2 linked regions of the Oryzias latipes genome follow. The protein of the gene in region 1 interacts with the protein of each later gene in a pairwise test. Links are inferred from orthologs where the notes say so. Each region holds a gene or a part of one and is shown in the gene's direction. Other genes may lie near its edges.

Region 1 (8,165 bases):
AAGTATACGGGGTACATATAAAGATGACTGTAAAACGCATAGCTTCTCTTACACGTCACTTTATTCTAGCAGCTAATGAGGGAAATTGATCAGTATCTGAAAGATCATCCCTATAACAGAATTAACGTTTTGATTAGCCAATAGGAAGCCAGTCAAGTCACCAATAAATACTTAAATGACTAAACGCACCGCTTTCTGTGTACTTGCAGATTAAACCTTCAAAGACAAAAGATTTTTCAAGCAGGCTTTAGTAAGTGAAACTCAATTGTTTTAATGGAGAACAGGAGTGTTAGTCACTAGCAGACCCACCATCTCCAAATAAAAAGTTCACGTCATTATGATGATTGATGACAAAGTGCTGCTGTAAAAAGGCCGTCAAGTTGTAACCATTTGCTTAAACAGTTCTTACATCCCCATACAATTTAAATGAAACTATTAAGAAAAGAAAAAAAAGCAAAACAAAACAATGCAGTATTGTGCCTTACATGATTCTAGCCACAAAACAAAAGACACCCTTCAGTTAAACATAAAATCCATTTGTCTTATACAAACTAAAAGGCTTGTAAAGGGTTCAATACTCGTCCAAATTATCAGCTTTGGGTATGGAAAGGCCTCTGTCCTTCAGAGCTTGCATTTTGACTTTCTCCGTTTCCTGTTTGGCCTGCTGCTGCAACCGCTGCTCCTCCAGGATCTCCTCAATTGAAACCTGCTGCAAGACTGTGTCGCAGGGCTTATCCAAATCCTGCACAGGACACAGGAGAGTGAGGTCAAATCTTATGATCCGAAAATGTCATCAAGTTCTTTTAGGCTCTGTGCATCATTCCATGACACTAACAAAAGTTGCTAGTACTCAATGCTATGGCCTGCTCATAGTTTTGCCCAAAAAGATGCTTAAACTCCGTGGTTCAAGGACCCACGAAAAACTTGTGTGACACAAGTTCGAATGGTAAGCCACAAGCTCCCTGCACCACTCTATTCTGATGCATCCATTGTAGACAAAACGATGCATGTGCCTCTTTGTTTCCCTCATCGGAGCTGAGATCTGGCTCCAAACTATGGCTGGATAGCTCTAATATTGTTGCCGTATTCATTTCTACCACCATCATGTTAGGTTGGGGTTGTGAGGTAAACTAGCAGCAATCCTGCAATCATTTGTGTAATCATTGGTAATCTAAATTATAATTAAGAAAAAAAAAAGTAAGAAGAAGTATGCATTGTATTTATATGGAAAGAGCAAAGATTGACAATCCTCACCACTTTTCCCACCCGCTTTTCTTTTATATCATATTGAAAACCAGGAGAGAAAAATAAAAAATCTGGCTAGACCAAACAGCAAATTTGAAAAAGTTGTAAAATTAAGCCTTTTTTGTTTTTGCTAAGTAACCTTAACATGGAGGTACCTTTACAGTCAATGTGTGCGCAATTTCCTTTTTAAGCAAGTATTCATTTAGGCAGCAACTTTTCAAAAAAAAAAGTTTATAACTGTAGTAACTATATAAAGTAACAATTTACTTGCATATAAATTTAACTTGATCTTTAAATAAGAGTCACATCATTTTCTGCAGTGCGAGACCTGGATGCTTGACCACATTCAGAGTTTGATGTTTGGTGCTGTACGGAGCATCTGAGAACAAGTTCACGTAAATAAAACTTGATCCAGAAATTACATTCAAGTTTAGAACAAACTAAAAAATTGCTCTAAAACACTTACTATTTCCCCAAGCAGGACTACATTTTCTCCCCTGACGATGAAGATACCTCTGGGAATATCTCCAAATTTCTTTCCCACGTGGATACGCTCCACCGTCTGATGAAAGACTAAATTGGCTGTGGAACAAAAAAAAAAAAAAAAGAAAGAAACAAACAAATTTAGGACTATTGAAACACCGCGTAATCATATAAAAATAAAAAAATAAACCCGCATGGAAGAGTTTAGAAGATTCTCATTTTTTATTACCAAACTGATCGATGCTTCTCAGGTAACCGATTAGTGTTCTGCCATCTCGCAGCAGGACCAAGTGCTTTTCTGCGAAATTAAAAACATTTAAAAAAAATCTGCGTCCACACGGCACACGCTAATACATTGTGTCGTTTGTTTATGATTAAAAAAAGCAATTTCTATAAGGCCCAACTTACTGTCAATATCGTCAATGAGACTGGCCGTCCCTGGTACGTAATTCATGTTTAGTTGCAGTTTTCACGCGTTTAGTTGATTTCTGAACCATCAAGCCATGAATGTTTTTACCCGTTTCTATTTGACGGTGCACAGGAAGTGCTTTTATACACTTCCTGTAAACATTTAACCCCTTCCGCACCGTAATTGCGCATAGCTCGAATTTTCTAAAAATAACTGTGTAAAAATGATTTAAACAAAAGTATCATACATTTTATGATACAAAAAGAATTTTCTATAAAACATGTTTGGATTAAATGTCCCCATTTGATGATGGATGGTAACCCTTCCAACGCATGTGCCACATCAAAGATCGTAAATGAAAATTTTGAAAAGTTGCGTCACATGTTTAAAAAATACAACTGCTACAGGAGTAATTCAATAGTTGGTCTTAGCAGTAAAATATATTGAAAATAAATATCTTTAATTAAAAATATTCTAATTGTGTTCCCCGTTTCTGCGTTTTGCAATTGTAAGGTTTCATCCAGCAATTTCGATCAGAAAGTTTTAGAGAGTGACTCCTCTTTACTTGTAATGGTTCTACTCGACTTAAAGACGCAGTACCATGTCTCCAGAGTTCCGCGTCATTTATTCATTTCTTGGTTGCAATCAGGCGATCCTGACTTCTGCGGGGAAGCTGCTGCTTTGATCAGCTGTCAGATTTCTAGCGGAACCGTAAACTAGTGATAGTCTTGCTTATTTTGGAAGATGGCAAAATACGTGTAACTGATGCAGAAACCCCAAATGCAGCCAAACGGGAAAACTGGCTGGCCCTCTACTAACTCGGGAAATAGTCACGGAAGCTGCAGTAACACTATGGTAAGCGAGCAGATTAATTAAAAAAAACTTTACTGGGGGGAGGGGGTGACAGATCATATTGTGCTTTAAAGAAACAAAGATTAATTTAAAATCTCCCAACAATAAAATCCGTTTGTTCGTTCGTGCAGAAGTTCTTCGCAATGTTCATCATGCTAGCTTCATAGCTAATATAGCTAGCGGGCATTATGTAATAGTTACTGCTAGCTTATTAGTTAAGTCCTTGTTTTTAAATTACATTGACTCGAAAATATCGATTTAACACAACACTTCTGCACGTTAGGAGATCGTAGCGATCATATAGAGTTTCATGAGTTAATCATTGGTTTAGCTCAAATTATTTCATTCATTTAAACACAAGTTAACATCCATTTATTTAGTTTTCTAGAAAGACACGAGTATATGTTTATCAATGCGTTTATCATTTAAGTTTCTCAGCATCAAGTTCTCCATATCTCTATTTGAGATTTAGGATAGCTACACAAAATGGGTTGGATCACATAAAGTGAGTCGCTGTCTCGTGTCAACTTGCCTTTTACAGGATGCTCCTCAGTATCCAAGTTACCCTCCACAATACTGGTATCCGCAGTCCCACTCCACAGGGCCCTACGCAAATGCCTATCCTTCAGCGTCAGATCTGCATCCGCAGTACAATCCACAGGTACATCTCACTATACGAGCCATTCCTTTCCTTCAACATTTTAATATATTGCTCACTGTTTTGATTCTCATCAATTTCCTCATCTTTCTTTTGCACAAACACTCATAGTTGTGGTATCAAAAGTGCTGTTTTCACAGAGTGGTCAATTTCCTCTCAGGCTTGTCCCTGTTTTTCTTTTTTTACTTATTTTTTATTTTTAGGTAATGCCAGGAGGATATCCGAACGGCCATGGAGCGTACAACCATGCACAGAGTCCGTACCCGGCAAGTAGCTTCCACCCATCCAACCCCTTCTACTGTGCTGATCCAAGGAGAGCAAGTCCAAGTTCCTATCCGCACCAAGGCTGTCCGGCAGATCAAAGCAGCGAGCCGCCTCACGCTCAGCATCATCATTACACTGGTCCACACTGTCAAGGGGTGAGTTTATTTACGCATTAATGAGACACTCACATTACTTACAAAATACTTAAATAGAAGCAAAAGGTTCTTGGTTTAATATTTCAGTCTTTTTACTTATTATTATTTATATGAGTTTGCTAAAACAATCTTATGGAAGCTTGACGTATTTAAGGAATCAAACAAATCATTTTATGCATTTGACCAATCGGATGGACGCCTTCACATTGTTGACCAATCGGATGGTGCCCTTTTATGCTAGACGAGGGTTTACTTTAAAAAAAAAAATTTAAACCGTTGCAGTGAAATGGAAATGATGTTTTTGGTTGTTTTGGTGTGTTCACGTATCACCGCAAGTTATATCGTCATCGCAATATTGATCATCAATATCGCATATCACAAGTTTTCCTTATATCGAGCAGCCCAAATGTGTTTAGAAAGCACCAAAATGAGACATCCATTTCTTGTAATGTTACATTTTTGAGAATAAACATGTTTGTCTTGTTTGTGCTCTCAGGGTCCTGGATATCCTCCTGGATCATACCCACACTACAGTGAAGGTGGACATGCAATTCACTCGAATTCTCCTTACCCAACCGGCCAGGCTCTTCATCCTAATTCCCAGGCTGAAGCATGGGGACACCCCAGCCAGTATGCCCACTCACAGCAACAGTGGCAGGGAGGTCAGCAACCTCCCCAAAATCATTACGGGAATCCCGTCCGTCCACCTCATCCTCCAGCGTGGCCAGGAACCGGGACTGGTGCCCCACCACCCTATCAGCCCAAAGTAAGGCTCTGCAGCTGACGTGCATTGTGTAACAATTATTCAAGAGTCCGTAAGGAGATAAAAGCAAATATGTCTATCTTGTGTTGTTTCAGGATCAGCATCACCAACGCCCTCTGCAGGTGGGGCCTAAACCCAGGCCAACACCACCCCCTAATGGAAAGCCTGCTGAAATAACTTCTCCTCCACAAATCTACAACAAAACAGGGAGAGGTGATACTAACACCTCACAGGCTGAGCCCCCCCCATCAGCCCCAACCCAAGCTCCTGCACCGCCCGCAGGTCAGACCAGACAGCTGCCCTTGAGTGATAATCCAGGCCTTGCCAAGGTTCAGCATGTGATGACCAGAGTTCAGCTACTTCAGGAAGATGTTGACGAGTTTGTAGGCAAAAAGACAGACAAGAGCTACCGCTGTCTTGAGGAACTTCTGACCAAAGAGCTGTTAGAGCTGGACTCCGTGGAGACTCAGGGACAGGACAATGTTCGACAAGCACGGAAAGAAGCCGTGCAGAGAATTCAGGCCATACTTGACCAACTAGAGAAGAAAGCCTTCTGAAGCGGGCTCAATTAACTTGCTTGTGGACCACCAAGTTTTCTTATGTTCTCTAAGATCTTCCTTGACAAAAGTCCTGCTCTGCAGAACTATAACAATGTTCTTTTTTCTACCTTAAAAACATTATATGAAGAAATTACAGACCGAAGGAAGAGTTAGATGAAATTTGAAGGGAACTTAAAATCAGACCTACACATGAATGCCATGTCTTTTGTTTTCAAATCTACTCCTAATACAGATAAGATTACGGTCAAAGTTCTGCTTTGTCTCCATTTATTTGTTTTCACACTTTCGCATAGAAAAAGATGAAATCATTGTTAAATTCATTTAGATGGCCTCACTTGTTTGTTTGTTTTTTCAGGTTAAAAAATTGAAAAAGTTTATTTTTTAAAATCTCAGCAGCATTTCATATTTCTGGTTTAGCAAAGTCTGTTTTTCCATGTTGGTCTAGTTAAAGAAAGTGCCATCTTTCAGAAAATAGTTTTTTAAGTCTTGGAAGAACAACAACAAAAAATGTCTAAAAAATACAACAAGTTTTGCATGGAAATGTCTCTGTTATGTGTTAATCTGTCAGCTATGATGATGGAATTCTGACAAAACAATTGCTATAATTATTAAAAAAGAAAATAGTAAAATGATTAAAATATTTTTATGAGTTTGTAATCCAATTGATTTTATTTTGCTGCAACTATGTAATTGCCTCAGAACTGGCAGAAGGCTGCCTCCAAGTGCAGCAGGGTTATTGGCTCATCTGTGCACACACAGGTAGCAATACACAACCTTAGGCTACGAGTCACAGACACTGCTTCCAATCTGGAGTCATCAAGTGTAATAACCCTATCAAGACTTCTAGACCCCAGATGTAAAATACTTGGATTTTTGAGTTCCTTAAGGTGTGGTGAAGCAGTGAACAATTTGAAAATGGAACGTCCTGCTGTGATTGGGCGCACATCTACTGAGTCACAGCCTGGACCCTCTTCACAACAGTTATCGGTATCCACTTCAGGCATGTTGTGTTCAAGTATATCCGTTTATTTTTGCACGTATTTCTTTGAAAGTTACGTACTGATTTGTACTTGACTACTCAAATCAAATCTGTTGGTTCTTTGATAACATGTGGCAGCAGCTGGACAAGGATGTTGGCAAGAAGACGAACAACGCCACAGCAGATTCTATTATTGAAGTCCAGAGATCCCTTGCTGAGAGCAACTTGCCAAGGACCCAGGATCCCTTGCAGTATTGAACCCATCATAAAACCAATTTCCCAAACCTCTTCAGGCTGTCCCTACAGTTTTTATGCACTCCCACATCATCAGTGCCATGTGAACGAGTGTTCTCAAAGCTCGAGAACTTGCCTCCAAAAAAATGTAATAGGCTGAATGCCAAAACACTTGAAAAACTTTTTTTTTTATAAAAATTCTGTGGAAAGAAATACCCCCCCACTCAGAGAATATGTAACTGAGCAACATTACATCCACACTGTGGCTTTGTCACATTATAACACACATTCACATTATTTGACATTTTATATGTTACATATTTTTCACTAAGATTTATTTAATCAGGATGTGGGTGAACAATTGTTTTCAGTCCAGCAGGAGTCAGTATTGAGTGACACAGGAACAATACTGTTTGTGTAACGTGCCAAAACGCTCACGAGGTTTCATCTATTCATCACTAGCAATAATTCTTGGTAATGAAGGCAGTGAGGCACAAACAATACTTCACGCTGAGTGAGGCTCAATGCAGTGTTTAAGTATGCAGTGGTTGATTGAGTGAATGAGAGCCAGGTGTGCAGCATCCAGGAAGTGTGCGCAGGGGTTGCTGGGAGGTGAAGTGCATTCAGTTCTCTGGAGACTGCGGGGAGACAGAGCTCTAATATGGTGTCCGACTTCTGACAGTAACAATCCATTTGAAAGTGGGTTTTCCCATGGATTTTCTCTTGTTCCTAATAGGTACATGTTGAAGCACTAGCCTGCCATACAGAGCTCTTATTCTATCTTTTCATCTAGAGGAATGCTATTTGGACCCAAAAGCGCAACATGCTGAAGGCTTCGGTTTCTCATGCTGGAGTAAAATAGGTTTTTGCTATAGTTTAAGAATGTCACAGATTTTTTTGGGGGTAAAAAAATCTGTAAGAGTAAGAAAAATGGGGTTACAAGCAAACATCTAGAAACTCTTTTTACTTACAAATGCTAATGTGGAAACAAAAGGATTTTGCCTATTTAAATTGAATAAATTCTGGGGGAAAAACAACTATTTTCATTATGGTTTGACGCCTATTTCAGGGGTTTTTTAGCACCCTAATGTAGTTTTTAAATCTGATAATGTGAATATTGTTTTAGAAAATGCAGCTTCCTTAAAGCAGTTTCAAGTCCTCCAGGACTCCTGCTCTGTAGGCATTACCTGTTGTAATGCTCCAACACACCTGACTTAAATAACAAATAACCAATGAGCTGATTTGAATAATTGAGTCCTTCATTGTGTTTCCCCATTATAATAATCCCGTGTAGTTTCCCATTCAAAAGCATGCTAGGCCTTCTTTGAACAAATAGGTAAGGAGGTGTTACACAGTGCAAGTGTGGAGGCTGAACAAACAGGAAGACAGGACAGAAAATAAACAAAATCAAAGTTCTCTTCAGTCTCAAATGCAGTTTCTTTATTTTTTATTTGTATTTGTATTTTTTTTAGGTCTATTTAGCCTATGTTTGTCTGTCATGAATTTAAAAAAAAAAACACTGCAAGATTCAACCAGAGGAAAGGCAAGTGTTTAGCTTTCATT
Region 2 (7,476 bases), on another chromosome or scaffold:
ATCTAGTAAATAATTAAAGACATGCTAGTTTTAAGCATTATTCACTTCTCCGATAACTGATCCGTGTTGTGTTTCCTTTACACGAGAAAAAATTGTACAATTCTTAGAAAGACAGTCATAAAATTACCGTACGAGGAAAAAAGTCCAAATATAATGAAAATAACATTGTTCCATTATTAAAGAAAGGTCATCATTTTATAATTTATAAAATTCATAATTTTGAAAGGAAAAAAGTCTACTTTGTTGGAAGTAAAATTTTATTTTAATGAAAATAAAGTTGTACATCCCCCCCAATTAGGCAGATTCAGTGATATTCTTGAACAGTGATGTTCATCCTGTTCCTCTGAATTGTTTGCAACATATACTAAACAGATAATGTTTGATTGTCTTTGTTTAAACATTTGGAAAGCTAAATATAACATTTCATAAAAAAATTATATTTATGTAAAATTCCAACTTTTGAAGCATAAGTTTGGGATCTTGTACTTGTAATATTGTAACTTTTCACAACTTCATTCTCATTTATTTGTACTTTTTTTCTTTTATTTTGGTCCTTATACTCTGTCGTAGACTAAGTTTTGTAATGTAATATAAAAAAAACCTATTGCTAAAGGTCTTTGGCATGTTTAAAGCAGTTTTTTGTTCAGCCTCTGTTGGACTAAACAGAGGAGAGCTGGCAGAGGAAATGTGATCACACACTATAACACAATCTGTAAACTGCTTAATTAACTATGATTCAAATGTTTGAAGAGTTATTTATTACAGAAATCATAATAATAGGTTGTGACTATTGTAGTCGTTGAAAGTTCTCCTCTGCTGATCAAGGCTATTTTTGCATGACCTTATGCGTTGTCATAGCAACTGTTGCTGCTCAAGGAAGGCAGATTTTATTCAAGAAGCTTACTGGCCTATTTGTGTAAAAGAGGTGTTAGGAGCCCTGAAAATATGGATCAATATAATAGTTTTTGCTCTTTTTTTTTAGGTTTATTTTTTTTTTTAAATTCCCTAAAATTTCAGCTAATTTATTTTAATTTCTTTTATTCATTAAATATGCTAAAGGTTTTGATTATTTCATCATTAAGCATTTAAATTAAATGTTTGTTCCTGAAGTTTCAGTCTAAAATGTTTTTGAAGCTTATACTTCTGCAATATTTTATTTTCAGAATAAGTTTTTTTTTTGTTTTATTTAGATCTTCTAAAATTGAGTTTTTGTGTCTGCAGTTGTCCTTATCTACACCGAACCACGGGCGACACCGAGCGCAAGTACCATCTACGATATTACAAGACTGGGACTTGTATCCACGAGACAGATGCTCGAGGGCATTGTGTGAAGAACGGCCTTCACTGTGCTTTTGCTCACGGCCCACACGATCTCCGGCCTCCAGTCTATGATATCAGGTGACCTGCGGAGCAGCTGTTGTCCTTTGCTTTTATATTTTTGAGCTTCTCCTCCCATAAACCTCACAATGCAGCATTTGCAGCAACTAGTTTAGCCTTAGATCATCTTCAGTGCAGGATTAGTTTTGCACCAGCATGACTTTTACTATTTGTAATTTCCGATTTGTCTTTCTGCACCAATAAGTATCAACATAATAATGTAACATATGTTTTATGATGAGATATCTTGATTGGGTTTTCTAACATTTTGCACATTATAATTGAAATTGTTTTAATAAAACAAAGAAAATATATTTTCAAAGTGTTTAAAGTGTTTTAATGAAGGTTGGATTTACACATTAATCTCATTATTATTATTATTATTATTATTTCTAATATCTCCTTATCTTTTTGTGTGTATTCACAGAGAGATCCAAGCACAAGAGGCCCTCCAGAATGGTCAGTTGGGATCTGGGGATGGTATTCCTGATTTACAACCTGGTGTGCTCGCTAGTCAAGCTATGATTGAGAAAACTTTAACTGAAGATCCCAGGTGGCAAGGTGGGCAACCCCCGAATAAATATTTTTTCTAAAATAAGCTCAGCTTATATAAGAAAACAATGAAATATGCAGCAATGCTAAAAGTCACAAGAATTTAACATGAAGACTTGTTTTTGCAGATACCAACTTTGTTTTAGCCAATTATAAGACAGATCAGTGTACCAAACCCCCCAGACTATGCAGACAGGGCTATGCATGTCCTCACTACCACAACAGTAGGGATCGAAGGCGAAATCCACGAAAGTTCAAGTACAGGTGAGTTTTGTCATTTAGAATGAACACGTTAATGTCAACATTATGGTCATAATAAAGCCTTTGACCTGCAGGTCAACTCCTTGTCCCAACGTGAAACACGGGGATGAATGGGGTGAACCCTCAAAGTGTGACAGTGGGGACAGTTGCCAGTATTGTCACTCTCGCACTGAACAGCAGTTTCACCCAGAGGTGAGAGACACTTTCTGAAGGTTCCTCAACCTCTTTGCTGTGTGCGTTTCTGAAGGAAATAATGAACTTAACTTGTGGAATTTGGGACGCCCGGTTGCTGAAAACCTTCCAGTGGATGCTTCAAAAATAATCGGTTTGTTTTTGCATGCAGATCTACAAATCTACCAAATGCAATGATATGCGTCAAACAGGATACTGCCCCAGAGGGCCGTTTTGTGCATTTGCACATGTAGAAAGTAAGTCGATCCTTTTAGTTGCAAGTGTCGAAAATTCTGCTTTGATATTTTCATTTTTACATTTTACTAGTTTAAAAATGTCTTTTACTTAGATACAAGTCACTTAGTAGTCTGTATTTTGACTGTTTTCAGGAATTCCCTCCACAGAGGAGACAATGAACTCATTGCTGTCAGCCATACAGTCGGGTTCACAGGCCCAGCTGGGCTCTCAGCAGTATTTAGAGGGTCCAGTTGGTGAGTGGAACAGTGGGGGAAACTCCACCACCAACACAAGCAGTAGCAACGGACAACTAGGAAGTGTAGGTTCTTTTCTCTTTCTCTATCAGTGCTTTTATTATGAAAATTCTTTGACCAAAGTGGGTGTTAAAGCTAAGAGGGAGCCCGTTTTTTGAAGCTGTTTGAGCCAGAATTTAGTCAGAGATTCGGTTCATTTGTTGTCATTGTGTTACCATCTTTCAGTTTGTCTTACATTTCTTATCCATTTATTAGTTGTTGTTTTTTTTCACATTTTGTCACAAAACAGACAACACACAGACTCTCATTGAAACCAATAGTATCGCAATTGTTGCTTCTATTCCTAAATGATGGCTACATGTAGCTTGTAATGTTCCGATCGTCATTTTTATGGGATCGTGTGCACTTGTCTTTCTCAGGTTTCATGTTCAAATAATACAACAGTAACAACATCCTCAGGAAGCGAAAGCTTGCTCTCCCCAGTGGGATCCATCAGCAGGCCCGTGTCCCTAACTAGTAGTAGTTTATGTTCAGAGTCCAGTTCATCCAGTGTTCCATCTCTGATGTCTAACTATCCCAAAGCTCCGGGCTTTGAACGTGAGGATCAGGTATACAGACGCACAAATATTAGGATGATCAACTGCCATTCATTATTTAAAGTTTATTTGATTTTATTTGATGTTGTTTTCTTCCGTCATCAGTTCATGCTATCACATATTTTCGATTTTAGATCATTTTGTGTGATTCATTGTATTTGCCCTGATCTGTGCAGTTATTTAACTTTTTAATTTTTCGATTTAATTTCTAAAACGGCTCAATCCTGAACTAGTTTCTGAGCAAAGATGTCAGAACGGCAACAAAAGAACCCAGAAATAGTATTTTATTTCATATAGACTGGATATAAGGAGAAAGTTACTGACGTTTCCAATGTTGTTTATAGATAAAGTGTAAGGGACAGACGGAGCAAAAATTAATGGACCAAGATAAGCAGGTTTGTACATAAATCTGTAAAATGTAAACCCAGTATTTGTCAAACGTTCTTTAATAGTTACATATATATATATTTTCTTTTTTCTTTAGATGCAAAATACTGTATTTTCTGCTGTGAACCCGTTGGCATCAAGCTTCACGTCCAGCATCACATCAAGTTTGGCCTCCAGTATTGGATCCGATAGTTCTTCACCCACCACCTTATCCACCATGAATGCAAAGGCCACTCCTTTCTATCCAGGGAGCAACACGGTGGAGTCCGTCATCGGTAACTGCACGCTAACCCCGAGGGTTAACAGGCTTAGAAAGGTTCTGCTTTCAGGTGTAAGTCAAGATTCTTTTGTCTCCTCATCAGGTTCTGCTTTAGACCTCAATTTCAGCGACATCAACGTTGCATCTCTTGATAAGGAGTTAGAGGAGCAAGATAACAGTTTAGGACTTTCAAGTAAGAGATTCCAAATTGTGCCGGTAAATGTTTTTAGTTTCTCTCGGGTGACAGCCGCTTTGACGTTGCTTCGTAGGTCAAAGGGTGCTGGGTGGGTCGGCTCCCGTCAACATTCCCGGCTCCCTGGCGAGGTCCTCCTCTTTTAATTCCTCGTCATCGCTTTCCACCTCTCCGCTGAGCTCCCTCTCCCAGTCGCTGTCACAGTCGCTGCTGTCTGGAGCAGTGTCTCAGCAAAACCATGCCGCCATGTTAACCAAGCAGGAACATGGCCTCCTGGGAACACCCACCTCCTCTTCCCAGAATTCCCTGGGTAAGCGGCAGCAGACATTAAAAGTGTTTTACAAAAGTAAATGCAGTATAATCAACCACATTCTTTAGATTCAAAGTAAGATGCAACTTAGATTGTAAAAGGATTTTCTTCATTAAAAAAATCCTTTTTCTAACTATTGTAAAACTATTTCACATCTAGGTTTGAATGGAGGAGCAAGCAACATCTGGGACTTTGTAAGTGGCAGCTTTTCTCCAAGTCCATCCCCAGTTTTCAGCAGCCTGACCTCCACATCCAGCAGCACTGATCTGGCCCGCCTTTTTCGAGAGCTGGATGAAGCTAAAAGGAAGATCAAACAATGGGAGGAGGCCTGGCATCAAGTCAAGCAGGTCAGCCGTCTAACCCCACTTCTGCCGCAGCACAAAGCTTCAAGTTGATGTTGTTAAAAGCCAAGTTTGGCTTTCGTTCCAGGCGTTTGAAGCTTGTCAGAAAGACGCGCACGAAGCGAAGGAGCAAGCAAAGACGGCTGAGGCCGAGCGGCAGCTGGCAGAGCAGAAATGGGAAGACGCAGAGCGCAAGCTGAAAGAACTCCAGGGAGACTTTGACGTGTTTTGTCGCACCCCTGGAACTCCTCTCCTCCGTAGCTACGGAGAGCTGGACCAGCTCTCCCTGTCCAAACTCCACTCTATCCAGAGTCAGCTACGTAATGACCTAGACCTTATAGACGGGGTAAGAAAGTCTAGATCTCAAACAGCATTTCATTTTGTAGCGTCTGAGTAAGACCGTTTGTTAGGTTGTTACAAAGCACCCGTTCTGTCATGAAGCATGCTTATTTCAACAATTTGCATGAACAGGTTTTCTTTTTTTCTTGTAGTTTGCAGCTCATATCGACTCTTTTCTTCCCCCAACAGGTAATTTATCAGCTTCAGTCAAAGAAATGTATAGTTTGCCAAAACCATGATCGTTGCGTTGTTCTGCAACCTTGCCAACATTATGTACTTTGTGAGAACTGTGCACCTAGTAAAGCAGAATGTCCTTATTGTAAAACAAAAATAGTCAAGTGGTGATGTACAGAAACTCGAGCTACTATTTAGAAACTTAATCCTGTTAAGAACTACTAATCACACCTTTTCTAAGCAGTGATGTCTGTTTTTTTCTGACGTCTGACTATAATCTGAATTACACAATATTAGAAATCAGTATTATAAATCAGGTGTTCCCAGTAGACATTCATTTCTAAGGTAGCTCTTTTTATTTTCTGTTCTGTTGGACATAACATTTTATACTGCATATTCTCTGATTAGATTATAAATAACCGTATTATTCCAGCTTTAGGCACAGTAAAAGGCGCTGGGCTTTGGTCCAGTTACAGATCAACATTTTCATATTTAATCTGAAAGCAAAACACAGCTATAGATTTTTCCAAATAAACAGAAAAAGAACTAAACAGTGAGACAAGTTGAGCAAAATGACATCTTTTAAAATGGACAGCGGTGATAAACGTCAGGAGAATGAAAGATTGAAACCCCCTGAGGAGTGAGGTAGCATCAAAATGAACTTTCCGGAGAATGATTGAAGGCATTCAGCACCAGCTTTTCAAAAAAGAAAATATACAAAAACAACTTCAGAAATGAACAGATAAATATATATATATATGTATATAAATACATGTATATCATTTTAGAAATCTGTATTAAGCTTTTGAGAAGGTTTTTTTGTCAACTGTAGAAGTGATTCTTTTTAAGTTCATAAAAAAACTGCAGTGTTTTTCATACAATAATATCTATCAGTCACTAAGCTAAGCTTTAGCTCAAAACGCATTTGAGCGTCTTTTCCTGGATCCCACCAAAGTTTATATCAAAATACAAATATTGCATCTTATTTTTTATGTAAATTTTTTTTTTTTTTTTTTTTTTTTTTTTTTTTACAAAAATGAATGTTTTTCAGTAAGCAAAAAAGGAACACAAATTAAATGCAAATAAAATTAATTTGGCAGCTAAACCATAAAAATCTTATGAAATATGTTTGAGTAAAATTTCATATTTTGACTTAGCACCTCTTATTTTAAAGCTATTTCAAATATTTGGCTTAAGTATTTTGCTAAACTTAAAAACACTTCACGTCCAAAAAAAAACATAGTATTATCCTCAAAAAAAAAAAAAGCAGCAACAAATGATGCTAACATGCAAAAAACCTTAAAGCAATTAACCAAACAATCATATTGACCAAGTTTCTAAGGATATTTCTCTGTTATAATCTTAAAACTTTCTTTTGTATTAAAGCACTTTGTTAAAATGGGACTTTATTAATGGGTTTGCTTTTTTATTTTTAGATTTCCTTTGTTTTTCCACATAAGCTAACACCTGGAGCTTTTCTAAGAACTGTGAACTATAATTTGGATATTTCCTGTTGTAAAATCACAGCATGATGATTGAAGATTTCCTATAAAAAATCCAGATAGTTTCTACTTTCATAGTTCGATTTATAAAATTCAATCAAAACGAGTGCAAACGAAATCTGCATTTTACGCATAACCAGCAGCTAGATGATATCAGCGAGGCACATGCTACATGTTAAAGGCTGTTTGTCAATCAGTTTTGTTATGTAGAAAGTGATCAAGGCTGTCAATTAGAGACGCATGGATTAGCTTTTCTGTTTTTGTATAGAAATCTAGCCTCTAGAACATATCGCCCTCGAACTCCACAGAAGTGCCTTGCCTTAGGTGACAGGTTATGTGTAGAATTGTCAGAGCAGACACTAGTAGTTCAACATGTTTCTGTATATTTAACCTTACAAAAGCATCAAGATGTGTATAACTATATGTAAAAGTGTATTCTGCTGTATTTGGCCAATATCCATAAAGTATTTTAGAGGGGGGGTAAAAAAGTTCAATTGTGAGTGCCTGCGTTCAGACCTTCAGA

Evidence for each region. The genes of interacting proteins can lie anywhere in the genome.
Region 2: the proteins of bag4 (region 1) and unkl interact in binary tests that used the Homo sapiens proteins (3 or more experiments, as listed by UniProt). The link is inferred for Oryzias latipes from reciprocal best matches to the Homo sapiens genes BAG4 and UNKL.

Annotation. Positions count from the first base shown.
Region 1 is NC_019867.2:18,631,092-18,639,256, reverse strand, and holds bag4 (BAG family molecular chaperone regulator 4), read left to right. Parts: upstream 1-2,730; 5' UTR 2,731-2,902; coding exon 2,903-2,992; intron 2,993-3,530; coding exon 3,531-3,650; intron 3,651-3,850; coding exon 3,851-4,066; intron 4,067-4,562; coding exon 4,563-4,832; intron 4,833-4,924; coding exon 4,925-5,386; 3' UTR 5,387-6,046; downstream 6,047-8,165. Other genes in the region: U6 snRNA-associated Sm-like protein LSm1, read right to left, coding at 572-742, 1,712-1,827, 1,958-2,026, 2,137-2,182. UniProt on the Homo sapiens protein: Inhibits the chaperone activity of HSP70/HSC70 by promoting substrate release. Prevents constitutive TNFRSF1A signaling. Negative regulator of PRKN translocation to damaged mitochondria.
Region 2 is NC_019866.2:8,065,972-8,073,447, forward strand, and holds part of unkl (putative E3 ubiquitin-protein ligase UNKL), read left to right. Parts: intron 1-1,221; coding exon 1,222-1,398; intron 1,399-1,804; coding exon 1,805-1,938; intron 1,939-2,057; coding exon 2,058-2,193; intron 2,194-2,264; coding exon 2,265-2,382; intron 2,383-2,533; coding exon 2,534-2,618; intron 2,619-2,750; coding exon 2,751-2,917; intron 2,918-3,271; coding exon 3,272-3,460; intron 3,461-3,792; coding exon 3,793-3,843; intron 3,844-3,932; coding exon 3,933-4,110; intron 4,111-4,197; coding exon 4,198-4,287; intron 4,288-4,363; coding exon 4,364-4,597; intron 4,598-4,756; coding exon 4,757-4,944; intron 4,945-5,026; coding exon 5,027-5,284; intron 5,285-5,429; coding exon of another isoform or gene 5,430-5,466; coding exon 5,467-5,622; 3' UTR 5,623-7,476. UniProt on the Homo sapiens protein: May participate in a protein complex showing an E3 ligase activity regulated by RAC1. Ubiquitination is directed towards itself and possibly other substrates, such as SMARCD2/BAF60b. Intrinsic E3 ligase activity has not been proven.